3 linked regions of the Drosophila melanogaster genome follow. The protein of the gene in region 3 interacts with the protein of the main gene of each other region in a pairwise test. Each region holds a gene or a part of one and is shown on either strand. Other genes may lie near its edges.

The links. The genes of interacting proteins can lie anywhere in the genome.
Region 1: the proteins of CG14589 (region 3) and Kr-h2 interact in a two-hybrid assay, tested with the Drosophila melanogaster proteins (one large-scale study listed by BioGRID).
Region 2: the proteins of CG14589 (region 3) and Dip-B interact in a two-hybrid assay, tested with the Drosophila melanogaster proteins (one large-scale study listed by BioGRID).

Annotation. Positions count from the first base shown.
Region 1 is NT_033779.5:6,069,033-6,074,495, reverse strand, and holds Kr-h2 (kruppel homolog 2), read right to left. Parts: upstream 3,507-5,463; 5' UTR 3,309-3,506; intron 2,284-3,308; exon of another isoform or gene 2,083-2,283; 5' UTR 2,041-2,082; coding exon 1,820-2,040; intron 1,763-1,819; coding exon 1,513-1,762; intron 1,457-1,512; coding exon 1,323-1,456; intron 1,260-1,322; coding exon 1,034-1,259; 3' UTR 535-1,033; downstream 1-534. Other genes in the region: CG9154 (uncharacterized protein), read left to right, coding at 3,907-4,047, 4,104-4,263, 4,318-4,688; Pfdn1 (prefoldin 1), read right to left, coding at 4,730-4,937, 5,007-5,149, 5,246-5,275. UniProt on the Drosophila melanogaster protein: Member of the dosage-dependent hierarchy effective upon white gene expression.
Region 2 is NT_033777.3:13,780,457-13,786,210, reverse strand, and holds Dip-B (dipeptidase B), read right to left. Parts: upstream 3,924-5,754; 5' UTR 3,760-3,923; intron 3,572-3,759; exon of another isoform or gene 3,517-3,571; 5' UTR 3,384-3,516; coding exon 3,370-3,383; intron 2,395-3,369; coding exon 2,118-2,394; intron 2,051-2,117; coding exon 1,952-2,050; intron 1,895-1,951; coding exon 758-1,894; 3' UTR 535-757; downstream 1-534. Other genes in the region: CG9286 (uncharacterized protein), read right to left, coding at 4,144-4,787, 4,847-4,973, 5,035-5,157; CG9288 (uncharacterized protein), read right to left, coding at 5,543-5,754.
Region 3 is NT_033778.4:6,135,280-6,138,937, reverse strand, and holds CG14589 (uncharacterized protein), read right to left. Parts: upstream 1,636-3,658; 5' UTR 1,512-1,635; coding exon 1,125-1,511; intron 950-1,124; coding exon 678-949; coding exon of another isoform or gene 673-677; intron 621-672; coding exon 530-620; 3' UTR 527-529; downstream 1-526.

The sequences.
Region 1 (5,463 bases), on a different chromosome or scaffold from region 3:
CCCAAAGTTTTCCCGGCACTGAGAACGAAAGTGAGTCGTTTCACCTACACAACACAACAAAGCTCGGGTGCCTTCACCCTCATTTGGACGAACATTTTTTTTTTTTGGCGCTGCGCAAGAAGTTCATTGAACTTGGTGGAAATTCGGAAGAAGTCCAGAGCCAACGACAAGCTACCAACGCCCTAGCCTCACACCCAGAAATCATTTCATTAGTTTCGTTGTGGGTTGATGCTTCGGCGCTGTACAAAAGTGCTTAGATTGCTACTATTCGTGTCCGACTGGAACATGGCCAAATCGACTAGTGATCCTGATCTGGAGTATGTTGGGGAACGCTTCCATTCACCTGTTTGAGCCCGCTGACCAAAAGTGGAGAAATTAAGGTATTGCATACTTTAAGGATGATACGAAAATTATTACGATTGATATCATTTTTTAATTGGCTTGAGAAGAAACAAGTTAAGTGCAAACCACTTAATACAGTAGCAGAAGATTTAAAGCCAATCAACCAGAAAAAATTGTAGTCCAAATTCTAGTACCTTCTCAAAATGTTTTATTTAACTTTACTTTACTTTGTTTGGTTCTTCGAATCTTTACACACTCATACAAAATATATGTAAATAATTACTAACAGCGTTAGCTGTCCATGTTTTTCGTTTGATCAGTATTTTGAACATATAAGTTAAAGCAAAACAAATTGAAATAATTTGTTTTTGGGATATAAATATAGTAATACGCGCCGTTGATCCTCCATGGCGGAATTCGTGCGTTGCCACATTGTGTGTTGTTGAAAAAAGCATGATGATGTACTCAAAAAAAACTACAATAATATATAGATAAATTTAAACTTAAATGCCGAAACAATCTGGTGTAAAACAACTAGTTTCGCTTCGAAAAGGTGCAACGAATTTCGGCTAACAAATAAAACGGATGAACCCCAATCTCCTGTGTGAACATCTATGCAAGTGAACTGGTATTTAAATAGCCTTATTCATATGTCATTTGATTGTTGTTTTCCGTTAGCTGCTTGTCGTGTCTACTCTTGCGCTGCAGCCGGCTGTAGCTGCGGCGCCAAGCGGTTGACGAACCCAATGCCTCCACGGATGATCTTGGCAAAGGCGGGCGGTGAGCGGGCGGCCAGCGCCTCGAAGGTTATACGCAGCTCAGCGAAAGCGTTGCGCGGATAGGGATTTCGTCGCGAGCTGTAGCGCATCACCAGATAGTGGTAGTAAATAACGGGCGTCATCAATCCAGCGTGGTTCCTAAAATTGAAAGTATTCTGCATTGGAGTGCATTCCCCTCGAAAGATATGTGTTAAAACTCACATGAAGGCCAGCACAATGGCGTAAGGCATGATGAAGATCTCGCAGAATGCAGTTGCCTTCAGGATATTCGCCGCCTGAAACTCTACAATGGAGATGATGAAACGGGCACCCCACCACGAGTTCTGGCCAATCAGCTGTAAGTACATTTCTTATTAGACAAGTGCCAAATGTGAAATATTGCTTTCCTTACATCCAGCAGCTTAAGCGAGTAGCTTGAGGCGTGCAGAACTGAGTACAGCAGCACGGGAATCAGAACCAGCAGCGATGGGCGGATGTTGAAGAAGATCAGGGAGTACATCATGTAATGACACGAGTCCTCGGCAAACAGTCGAGCAAGGAACTCCCGACTGAACGCGAACGCGGGCAATCTCTGGTGCAAACGCAAGGCAGAGATGGCGGCATTAGCCAGCATAACCTTGCTGAATGCGCTCTGTTGTGAGCTGTGGAGAAGTAAGTGAAAATTAGAGTAGGTCAATGTGGAAAACGCGTGTACTCACGTAAAGATGGGCAGCACGTAGCTGACGGTGAAGAAGATGACCAGCAGACGTAGTGCCCATAGCGCGGAATCTATGCGATTTGTCTGAAAATGCTGCAGGAGCTTGGCCGGTACGTTCTGTGATTGAGATTGCTGCGGTTGCTCCTGCTGCTGTGAGGATCTCTCGGAGCTGTTGGTCTGAGCGCCCTCGGAGCGCGGTGGTTGGTCGGTGGGTGCGCTCATGATGAAGTAGCTTTCGTGCTCGCTTTCCGTTCAGTATTCAGTCTGCAAGGCAGTTATGAAAATCAGTATAAGGTTTCTACTTTCGGCCTTATCGGCGGGAATTTGGCTGCTATCTTAGGCATAGGCAGCGATAAGAGAACCTTGGCTAAGTAACTGCGGCGCTATCTGATGTGTGAGGGTTCCAACCTAATGAATAGCCCGCAAGATCTGCCCTCTATGACTCCAGGATTAGACTGCACTACGCTTCTCAGTGCCAAGCGCTTTACGTCTTAATTGAAAGTCAGGGCCAACTGTTAAACCAGTCAAATGGAAAGTGGCTGGCAAACGCACTTAAAACGAGAACGGGCTGGCCCAAAAGTCGTGTTAATGTTCGCTTTAGCCAAGATGACTTGCCCACCATTACGGACAGTGCTTTGCATGAGGCAACCAAAAAAAGAAAACAGCCAAGCCATCGCTAAAGTATCATGTACTCTTACGGTTTGGCAATTATATTTCTCGAGTATGCGGTTTATGATGCCTAGCGCACTAAACGCAAAGATTTCGTTACGAAGCTCGAAGAGAAAACTGCAAGACAGCGCACAATGTGCATGTTGTTACGAAATACACGTCAAAATATTGAAACACAAACAGGTGGCAACAGGTGAAACATGGGAGGGGGAGTGGGCTGGTCTGAGCGATTAAGTAAACCCAACCGAGGGGGTCCATCCTACGTGTACTTTCGATTTACATGTCGAGTAATGAGACTGGCAGTGGGGCAGCCGTATCGATTGGGATCTGTGGACGGAGGGTCCTTCAACGGAAGTGGGTCACCTAGTCAATTTAAGGTAGCACCTGTCAACCCGCGCGCACATTATTCATGCAATAGTCCGGAGTCGGAAGCCCAATTATATGATGTCACATAGTGGACAGTTTGGTTGGTAGGTACACGTCAGAGATTCAGAAGGTAAGTCTCGCAAATTGAGGCTGATTGACCCGACTGAACTCCACAATGAACGGCAACGAAATCAAAGTGCAGGGCTCTTCGCGCCGCGCTGTAGAAATTCGAAACGGTTGCGCTTGGGGATTGGATGCTTCCTCCCCCGCACGGAAGTCGCGGAGCGAGTCCAAATGCCGACCTGCATAATTCACCAGTGTAATTACTGGGCCAGCAGCACACTTTTATCCGATTTGGGAACGACGTCAAGCGAAGAAAGTTAGCCTTTAATCACATGGATTTCGTTTCCGGCAAGGCACTGATTTTTCCTAATTCACGTTGGCCATTCACTTACCTCTTACTTAGCAGCAGGTACGTTCCAGCCTGCGATATGATGTGACTTCGAATTAAACGCAAGTTTTTCTCGTAAATTAATACGTATCAGTTTGGTCGGGGCTCCCGTGCGAACTAGAGATGGACGGGCAAAGTTGATCTAGTTCGATAAAAACGAACTGACACAGGGCTGCCACCGATTTGTATCGCACTGCTTTCTCGATCTTACGAAATTTAAAGACCACGTACTTGAAAGTTGCTGTTTTAGTTGTCGATTAAACGCCTAAATATTCAGTACAGTTTGAAAATGTGTTGTCAAATAAAAGTTACGATACAGGTTTCTGGAGCTAGTTGTATTAATAAAATAACTTAAAATAAATTAAAATTGGTAATCGATTTGCATACGGTTAAAGTGCATATTATTTTGAAAGTATAATTTCAATATCGCAGTTGGCCTAAGTTTCTAATAATTTACAATTTGAAAACAGCGCCAAGGCCTGGAATCCCCCCAATAAGTTCTCATTTGTATCGCTAATTTCGCACCTCTAATCTTCAAACGCACATTTTGGTTTATTTTGATTTGAATGCTCTAAGATTCATTTAGTGGCAAATAATTAATTATGGACGACGACATCTCGCTGCCCGCCGACACTTTGGCCATTTTAAACGAATTTCTGTTGGAGAGATCAAAACGCGAAGCCGAGGAGGAGAATCAAATCGCCAACAAGACCGGCAAGGATGCCCAGTTCGAGGAGGATTGGGCAAGAGCACCTGCACATACCTTAGAAACTTATGGTGAAACTCTCTTCGCTTGCAGCAATTGAGTCAGTTCTGGTACAGCACGGAAACCAAGCACGCATTGCGTGATGTTGTGCGTAAGCTTCTGGCGGAGCGCACGGAGGATTCGGGTGACTTTAGTATAGCACTGCTCTCCTGCCCATCGCTCTACAAGGACATCAGGGAGATACATGACACAGGTAAGTGGACATGTGAAACGATTATGAATGAATTGTCATCATTCTATCTTGTAGTGCACATATTCGAGTTCGACAAGCGTTTCGAGGCCTATGGCACAGATTTTGTGCACTACGACTTGAACTGCGTAGGGAGCAACCCGGACTACCTCAAAGAGCACCACCAGCAATATGACCTCATCGTGGCCGACCCGCCCTTCCTGTCCCAGGAGTGCATCGCCAAAACGTGTGAAATAATCACTAGGCTGCAACGAAACCAGAAGGAGAGCAAGGTAATCCTGTGCTCCGGTGAGGTGGTGGAGCCCTGGCTAACCGCTCGCCTGCCCGTCCTCAAGTGCAGCTTCCGCCCGGAACACGAACGCAATCTGGGCAACAAGTTTGTCAGCTACGCCAACTTCAATTTAGACGAGTATATTGAAAATAAATAAGCAATTGCGTTGAGGGATAAATGCCAGTTTGGAGTTGTAGTCTATTTCGCAGTCTGATCGGCTTCCTTGCGCTGCTGCACCAACTCGCGCAGACCGTCTTCCTGGCTCTTAAGGGACTTCTGCAAGAACTCCTTCTTCTTCTCCAGCAGTTCTATCGCTTTGTCGCATTTCTCCTGCCTAGCCTTCAGGTCCTCGCGCATATTCTGTACATCGGTAAGCAGGAACATGCGACCCACGGACTGGTAAACTCTATAGGGAAACAGTTCAATTAGCCACCTGAACACCTGGAGATGATTAATTGTGATTCTAGTTATGTACCTTGTGTCGTCGGCCAAGCTGCTGGTGCCCTTTTCTGTCAGCTGGTACTTTTGTTTGCCTGTCTTGACCATGTCGCACTTCATGTCGATCATGTGGATCTTCTTGGTCGTCTCCAGCTTATTGATCTGCATCTCGGTGAAGGCCTGCGTGCAAAAGGAATCGTCTATGACTAAGTTCTTTGGAAGAGCACGCGCTCTCCGTCGGCAGTCGGCCTTTTTGGCAACTTGCCTTCCGCTCACCTTCTTCAATTCGATGTCCATTTGTGCCATTTTGTGTGATAGCTTTTCCTTCACAGATGATTGAATGCAAATTGCTTGGCTTTGCTGCGAATTCACTGAAAATTGCAACACCTGCGGTAAGCTTATGGTTTTTTTTTTCTACTTTATTAGTGATGGCAGTTATATCTGACTCCTGCTGGCCTGAAAATATCGATGAGTACGCCCTGCACTATCGATAA
Region 2 (5,754 bases), on a different chromosome or scaffold from region 3:
GGAGCCAACGGTATATTATGCAATCACAGCATGAATGAGACACTCTTGACCGAGTTTCCAAAGCCAGGCAATAACGGTACCAAGACACATGCGACAGCTGACAAGCGGGCCCCATCCACATCCCCATCCCCCAACCAAGCCAATCCACGCCAAGTTGCTGGGCCAAGCTCCCGGGAACGGGGCCCAAAGCGAAGAGCATGGCCAAGAAGCGACTAACGGGTTCTAGGCTGTGGGCCAAGCTACAAAAAAAGAAGGCGCTGCAAAGCTGAAGAGAAAAGGCTGCGAAAGGGGAAGAGCAGGAGTACGAGCCATACCGTAGATGGCCAACAAGAGCTCGAAATGCAGGGCACCCGCCAATTATGCAAACAATGCAGCTGGGAAATGCAGTAATAATAAAAAAGAAATAAAAAAGACCGAATACCCACGCGGCTTTCTTGTATACTTAACAAATATATGTAGGGTGGTTATTCTCTATAATGGGATGATATAATGTTTATATTTCCATGTTGATGAATATAATGAGATATTTGCTTTGTAAGCTTAAGGAAAAAAACAAATCATTTTCACATTTATTTGTAAACGATTACCAAATTAGTGACATACATTTATGAATACAATCTGAACTCGGTTTTGCCTTTATTAAAAAACAGTGATGCAGTTAGTAGGATAATATTGTTGGTTAGCTAAGCACGTGGGTGTATAAGTACTGTTTGTGGTGATCGTGTACACATCCTCCTGAATATTAGGTGGACATGATTTACTTCTGCAGATGGGTCTTCACCAGGGAAACAAGAGGGGCAGCTGTGGGCATCGCTGGGTGCTCACCGGCACTGCCGGCGATATCAATATGGGTGTACTTAATGGGCAGCATTGAATCCAACCCGTGTTTGTCCAGTCCAGAAGCCTTAATCATAAAGGCGGCGGGCACCTGGTGACCGCGAGGAGTCCTCACCGACGGGGCATTATTGGCCTGCACCAAATCCTCGCCAATCACCTTTCCAGCGTTAAAAGAGAAGTCACTGGGACGGAGAATGGACACTTCGAAGGGCTCTCCGAAGGCCTGTCCAGCAGCCTGCAGTCTTCTGGCGTGATCCTCCCGATGGGCCACGCTGTTATCGATGGCAATCGACTGACCCTCACCTGCCGAGATGAAGGCGTGACCAGTCAAGGTGGCAATGGTGAAAAGATGCGGATCCGGGAGATTCTGCTCCACGACCAACTCCTTCATGCGGCACAGGGCATCGGTCATGCACATGCGACCCTCGGCATCAGTATTTCCAATCCTCACATGAAGACCAGCTCGCGAGGTGATAACCTCATCGGCCACGTAGCACTCCTCGCCCACGGAATTGCGCACCATGCACAGGGCAGCCACAACATGGATATCATCCGGTTGCAGTTGACTGACCACCTGCATGAATCCAGCGACAGCAGCCGCTCCACACTTGTCGCGCGACATACCGGCCATCACACCACCGGCCTTGATGTCAGCACCACCGGTGTCATAGGTAACACCCTTGCCGACCAGCATCAGAGTTTTTCTCGCCGGCTTTGGAGGCTTGTACTCCAGGAAAATGATGCGACCACGATGACGCTCCACTGCATCAGCAGCCCGGTTTACGGCGGCAAACAGGGGATACTCCTTCTGCAACACCTGGGTGTCACTGATCACATTCACGTTGAGCTTGTCGAACAACGGCTTGATGTACTTCTCCACCTGGATGGGCGTCATGCGCTCCGGGTCCCCAACTCCGATGTCGCGGGCCACAAAGCGACCGGCCTCCAGAATGAGAGCTTCCTGGAAAATAGCTTCGGCCCTTGGATCATCGATCTGGACACTGAGCGTGGTCACACGGGGGTCCTTCAAAGTTCCTGCCTCGCGCAATTGAATGGGCTAAAAAACGTGTTTTAGCACATTGATTGAAATAAAAGTAAACATAATCCATATTACCACATAAAGCTGCTCCAGAGCTCCCAGAACGGTGCAGAGTTCGACCTCGGGGAAGCGCTTAACCTTGGGCACAAACAGCAACGGCGTGTGGAATCCAGCCTGGCAAAGAATACATATACATTTTCTTTCATAATTCACACAATATGTATAGAAAAAAAAAACCCACCTTGAGAACCTTCTCCATGGACCGCTTGGCCGCCTCCTGGTAGCTCCTCACATCGTCGTAGTCGGTGAGCTCGGAGACGGGGGCATAGACCACAGGTTGATCCACGTTGGGCACCTTAAAGCAGGATATGCTGCTGTCGAAGGACTTGTCGAATTTGCGGTGCTCCTCGAAGGTGGCCTTCAGTTCATTGGGAACCGCATTGCGATCGATGATGCACAGGCAGTCGTTGCCGGCCAGACTCATCAGCTTGTTCAGCCGGAGGGTGCATGGTAGAATTCTGGAGGGGCACACGTAGAGTAGAGTTAAAGTGCGCAACGGAATCGTTATTGGTATTCATTAAGAAACATTTCTGGGTGTCAACTAAATGTGCAATAGCGTTTAATTGAATTGAATTTTATCACGTCACATTTGCTTTATTAACTGATGCAGTCGTTCATATTGCATAACAGCCTGTTGCCTTTGTATTTCAATTTATTATTTCAAAAGAAAATGTCCCCACTGTATTAGGAGCAACCATGGCCATGTTTCAGTGTGTTCCCCTTTCGTTTACCCTCATTCCTGGCGCTGGGCTTATCTTAACTCGAAGTGCTATAAAGAATCGCGATAAGCTTTCGAAATGACCATAATCACAAACCGATTTCCAATTTAGAAACAAGTGTACCAAGTATTAGCACAAATGGTGTTAAAGTACTTATTTAGAATATTTGTAATCTTATTCAAGTGTTTCTACTAAATACCAATCCTTAGGTAACTGGGTCTATAATATTTTGGAGAATAATCCTATGTCGCTGACCATTTAATTGTGTTATCTTTTGAAGTGCCCCATATCAAACAATAAAAGTTGATCTATATATATCTGTTTCCAGAAGTAGCAAGAACTCGTTATCTAAGTAATAATGATAAAATTAAGTGACCTCCCCCCTTTAACTTTTATACAGTATTTCGCCAAACATTGTTTTTATTTTGGGAAAAGATAAAGTTTGGAATTTTCATGACATCTATTCCTTGCCGGCAACTAATTAAAACTGATAAACGCTGAGATATGCAGTACTAAAAACATTCTAATTTCGTTTTGGAATTATGGGAAAGGTAAATAAGATAGCAATTGATGGATGCTAAGCGACTAACCCTCACTGTAAAAGATGGCGAATCTTTGAGAGCTTTTCCAATCGGTCGCTAAGCGGTGGCTAGATAACTGATCCGCGCTAACTTAAAACACACCCTCTAATAACTGTTGGTAATAAATACTCACTTTTCGATACCCATGATGAGTACTTTTTCGCAGGCAGCTCACGCGACTTGGTTGATCGGCAAGTGGGGCGTCACTGAACCTCCCTGATGGGAACAAAGCGCTGCAGCTGGAAACTGGAAACTTGGGAGCGGGATCTGGAACGGAAAGCTGGCGATAAGGAGCGATTGTGATAGCTCTCCGCGACGATTTGCAATGTTCTGGCTGGGTGGCCAAGCTTTTTATACATTTTACTAGCGAGCCGGGCTTTAGGTTTTTTTTTTTTAATTGCTACTTGCGTTTTCGAATGAAAACAAATCGCACGAGCGATGAATAATCGCCAGTATGCTCGCTATGTACGTAATTCTAGAACTCGGATATAACTTGTAAACAATAAAGGCAAAGTCTACTCACGTCGCTCGGTCTTCGGAATTGTTATTGTGGGTTCCTCTTGCCAGTCACGTCCACGGTGGATGCAGTTTCTGGGCCAAAACTAACCAGTGGCAAAAAACAAAGGAATGGCAACCAGGTTTTTTTTTCACAGTAGACCAGCCGGCATGTGCGAAGCTTTCAAATGCCGGCCAAGTGACAGCTGTTTGTGGTTTGCCCGCGTTGCCAATTGTCATAAAGGATGTGGAAAGCTTTCGGTTCGAATTTTTGATACTCTTTGTATGGGACTACAAAGAAATAGAAGCTTATCGGTCGTTAGAGACCGGACATTATTACTTCTTAATTAGATATTTGTCGGGGTGTTATATTAAGGCCAAATAACACAGCAGTTTTAAATGTAAAAAATATTTATTCGCCATTAATAAAGCGTTGTATATCGTCAATAAGCTGCGGAAGTTTTTTGGCCTCCAGGACCAGGAGTTTCCTGTAGGGCGTCATCACGGCATCGCCTTCCAGCCAATCGCCAGACATGCCCGAATCGGTTTCAGAGGCCATGGAATACTCGAAGGAGAACTTAGCCCGATCCGAAAGCAACTCATCCTCAGCGTTGGTGTACACGTCCTCGCCCGGTTTGCCCTTCTTCGACTCTTTCCTGTAGAACTTAACCAGCAGCAGCAGAGTGCCAAAGTCGTATTTCATTTTCTTGGCCTTGGCGGCTTCGATTTCTTGCTGCAAACTCTGCAGCAGTGGCACGGAGATCTGGGCAGGGATATTGATAAAGCGCTCGTTGATCAAGAATCCCACATGGCGCTGCTCGCTGTCTAGAATCTCCTTCAACTGCTGCTGAACCTCCGGAGAAGCGTGCGTCTTGGCGCGATCCAGTATGTAGGTCCTTAACTGGGCGATGCTGGGCTGATCCTTTTTGGCGGTCAGGTTCAGCACAGAGGTGATTCCAAAGATGGTGCCATCCTCGACCATGTTGTCGTCCTCCGTTTCGCTTTCGGTGCCCTCGTCGTCGCACTGGCAGATCACACTGCCTATAAAATTTTGGGCTGGAAACAAAAAAAGTTGTGCTGATAGATAGATCAAGATAGTACCTTGGAGTGCTCACCTATGATCAAATCCGCCATTTGGTTGCAGTTGATGTGGGCACGAAGGAATAGTCGCTGCAGGAGTTGAGAGATTCCCTGGGCATCGGGATCTACTGGAGCTCGTCCCTCAAAGTCGATTTGCACCTCCTAGCCGGATATTAATTTTGAAACACATTTGCTTTTCATATTTTGGAGGCACTTAGATTACCTCGTTTCCCTTATAGGCATCTGGATGCGGTTCGTCGTCGTCATCATCCTCGCTGGAACTGGAGACATCCTCGTTGGGGTCCACCTCCATGGTACTCAATTTCTTTTGCTTATTAGCTGACATTTTTAAGATTTAGTTAACGAATTTGGTTTTGTTTCGCTTCCACTAAATTGCCGCCCGAACAGCTGTTTATCGTCCACACGTGTTGCATTGAGTTGCCAACTATTACGGAGCGTGCTGTTAAGTGGGCAGAGTTCTGTAAATGCACCGGAGTTAACAGGCTGTTAAGAAATAAAATTTACTGGAAATTAAATAGTAGACCCGACATTACATTTGACCATAAGTATTAACAAAATTCACAAGTTTCAGAAAATATTATTTGTGGTTTACTGTCAAAATTATTATTATTTAAGTCCTCATTGACTTTGAGCAATATAATATATGTATGAATCATTAATTTAAAATACAAAGGCCTTATAGAAGAAGCACAACAAAACAAGGGTCAAAATCACGCCTGAATCTCCTTATTTTTGTTTTGAGCGTGGTCCCCGGTGGACTCAATTTGAGGTAGACCTTCGTTTTTCGATTTTAGGCGCTCCTCATACTGCTCCTGGGTTAAAAGACTCGCCTTGATTGCATCGCAGTTTTCGATTTTGGGCAGAAGAATGGCGAAGTAGCCGGCTCCCTCGGGGAGTTGCTCCAGAAGCTTTGGCTCCTCCA
Region 3 (3,658 bases):
AAGAAAATAAAATGGAGAGTTCTGGCACAGTGGGGGAACGAAGAAGAAAGCTAAAGAACCAATCGCTAAATTCTGCCTTGATAAGTCATCGTCTTAGCAGTCGCAGTTGGAACAAACAGACGACCGACTGGTAGACAGCTATATTTTGCATTTTGTTTTCGTTTCGTTTCCGCCAGATGTTGTCGCGAAGGCCATCGAAGGGAGGAGAGGGCGGTGCGTTTAGGAAATTGGGAGGCGGTAGGTGGTAGGTAGTTAGGCAAATAAAACCGATTATCTGTGGTCCAAAGCACTGAGCTAAAATTGAATTTGGAATATGAATCGAATTGAAATAAATAACATTACTAAGCTAATTTTTATTTCCAGCTTAAAGGCTACAAACAGTAATCATTCTACAGATTCTACGTTTCAAATCGAAAAACAAACATGTGAGAATAACATAATTATCTTAACTGCAAGGATAGTGACAAATGTTTTGACCGAGGTTTGCGCTATTTCCGTTTAAAAACAATGGAAAAGTAGAGCAATTAATTTAAATATATTTGTTTGAGCTTTTTTCTTTGCGATCAATACAACAATCGAGATTTATGTTTGCATATAACTTAAAACTAACTAGATCATGCCTAAGAAAAAGACAACGATTATTAACATCTCACAAATTGTTACTTTACTCACCTTGCAATTCGGCCAACTGCTCGGTGCTCATAACAATTGGGAGAATCTGCTTGGTGGTGCTGCTGGGATCTATCGAATTCGGATCGGCAATCGGGCTCATATAGCACTTGCGCATCCTTAGATACTGCAGCCAGACATTTTTGCCCTCCCCGGAAGCTCCTTTCTCGCCATGGTCATGGACGTTCAGATTGATTTGACTATCGTTCAGAAACATCTGGCGAGTGAGATGGAAGTGGCTGTTGGTGATGTAGATGTTCGGCTCGGCCGGCCTTGGTTTCTGAGCAAAGAACAATGAATTGTTAATACACTTTACATGTCTCGAGGTCAATTAGATCTTTACATAACATGGCTAGCAGTGTAACAGTGTCTTTGAATGGAAAATAATATTGCGCGCGATTTTAAGATCAATAGATTCTCAAATATGTTGGTTGTTTTGTGTTTGTTTTGTTAACCTGTTCGTGCATCACGGACAGCATATAGTTTTCGCTGATCAAGTGGATGTTGTAGTCTCGCAGGTCCACCATCAAGCGCTCCATACTCAGGTTCTTTTCTCGCAACTCGCGCACCTGTGCGTCCAGCTGGCTTTTATCGTCCTCATAAAGCTGGAGGGTCTGCTCCCACTCGTTTTTGATCGTGCGGACGTCGTACCATTGCTTCTGGCCAAGTAGCCGCTGGCACAGAAAGAGCTCCACGAGTTGGGTTAGCTTGGACAGGACGTAGATGCACAGAAATATCCACAAGAAGGTCACGCACAAGTTGAACACGTTCTTGCCGCGGAGGTCCGCGTTTACTCCTTGCTCATGCTCTAGCCCTTCCAGGATCGAGGATACGTTCCACATTGGTCCTTCTAATGTGTTGCTTTCCGTACTTGAAATTCTCGTGTTTTTGTTGTGTTTGCTTGAGATTACGGTGGTGGAAATACATTTAAGGATAAACAAACTAAACTCTACCCATGAAAGGGCTCTCGAAGCCTACTACTAAACGTTTAAAAGTTAATAACCGACAGTAATTAATGTTCTCATGAACAACGTAACTTTGCTGAGTTCGGAATTGAATAGTTCAAAGAGCGTATTCATTTAATAAAATTTAATTCACTTAGGATACTTTTTGAACGTGGTATGTATACTTTGAAAATTTAATTTGATTTTATTCGATTTTAGTAGCGGCTAACTATTTGGACTGTTTACAATATGACTAGTGTTAGTAGAGGTGTTTCTAATATCTAATACTTTTTTTAAATTAATTTTTCGTTGATTTTGTGTTTGTTTGTGTGCGTGTCTGGGGTTTCCCATTTTATGACTTAATTAGCCAAAACACCAATATAATAATGAACCGCAGCAACTGCGTCAAGATTCGTGCATTGAACTTTGGTGGGTTTTTCACAGGGATTTTATTTACAGAATCTCCTACAAAATTTTCCTTGAGTAACTGCACACTTGGTTTACTGTCGCTTAGTATATATACAGAAGGTAGCGATCCTTAACTTTATCCTTTGTACATACATTCTTGATCAAAGCAGATTACCAGCCGAGTTGATTACCACTCCCAAAATCTGCAAAAAATTGTTACGCTCAGAAAGTTGAATACTTCGATTTAATTTGAATTTATTATTTGCCAATTTCTATTGGAATTTCAAAAAATATTTAAATATTCATTCTTAAAGTATCGTTTATATTATTTAAAATTTGATTTGCCTTAAACTCGAAACCATTGTTTCTGTTGAATTAAGAATTCCTTAAAGGAAAGAAATGGGCTCTAATTAGTTGTTTGACATGCATACATAGTGCTACTGCATAGCAGCCCAATCCACACTTGATTAAATATGTGCACTTTAAAAATAATTATAACAAATGTGCCTTAGTGTTCGTTGGAAGGCCTAAGGGGTAGGACTGGGTGGGTGGGAGCTTGGGGCGACCCCAAATACGGACGACACAGACTGCGTTGTGGCAAGTGCATCGCTATTTCTGTAGCCAGAAGCTTTTTACCAGCCAACGTTGTCAGGTGCTTACTGGAGCATCAGTTCCTAGCCCCCGGGAAAAGCAGCAGCGCGTGCTGCAATTACAGCACCCAACGCTTACAGCTAAGCCAATGAGTTGGCACTTGCGCTAACAACAAGAGCTCAGTTCCCCCAGCCTCCTGAATACTGATGAGTTTTTTGTTTTGGCCGTACTGCGTTCCAGTTTAACTGTGCAGGAAATAGTTATCGATAACTGGCGCGACAAGGGCACGCCAATTATGTACGCACGCTGGTTTTCTGCTTAGTATGCAATCTGAGGGACTAGCTGCCAGTGAGCATTATGATCAGAATTGTTGACACCCAGGATGCCAACATCTACATACATAGTGTACAAAAGCATTAGGAGCTCGGTTGGTATTACTCCAATACCAACAAGGCTTACAATTGTCACTTTTAATCAAATAATGTCATGCGAGCCAACATAAAAACAAGAAAAATTGGAATATTTGCACAGGGAAATAAAAAATATCATTGTGCCTCTAAAGCCCCCAATAATTTGTTTTACCTAGGAAAATATCAAAAAATTACATATATGTTTTATTCAACTTTTATTTTCGTCGACAATCTATCAAATGTCGGTATGCAGACGTTTAATTAGCTCTCGTATTTATGTATGTTATGCGCGCACGTTTGCACAGACAAAGAATAAGGATTTATTTTCTTTACTCCAAGTCCATCAGGGCCAATTCTAGGCTGGTCTGAATATGGATAATGACCGAATCCTAGTCCAAAGCGATCTCGGCCTTTAAATCCTATTTGCCTTTTTTTACTGTTAGGGGTAGATGGATACGGCCACTGATCCTGCTTAACAACACACCATAAAATTTATAGTGTCAGAAAAAACTCAAATTACCTTTTACAGATTTCTTAAAGAATCTAAATTATCTTGTATATAACATACAAGATTAGATTAGTGTTATTTCTTTGAGAAAATTCAGAACTAGACAAGGCAACATATTCAAACCCATG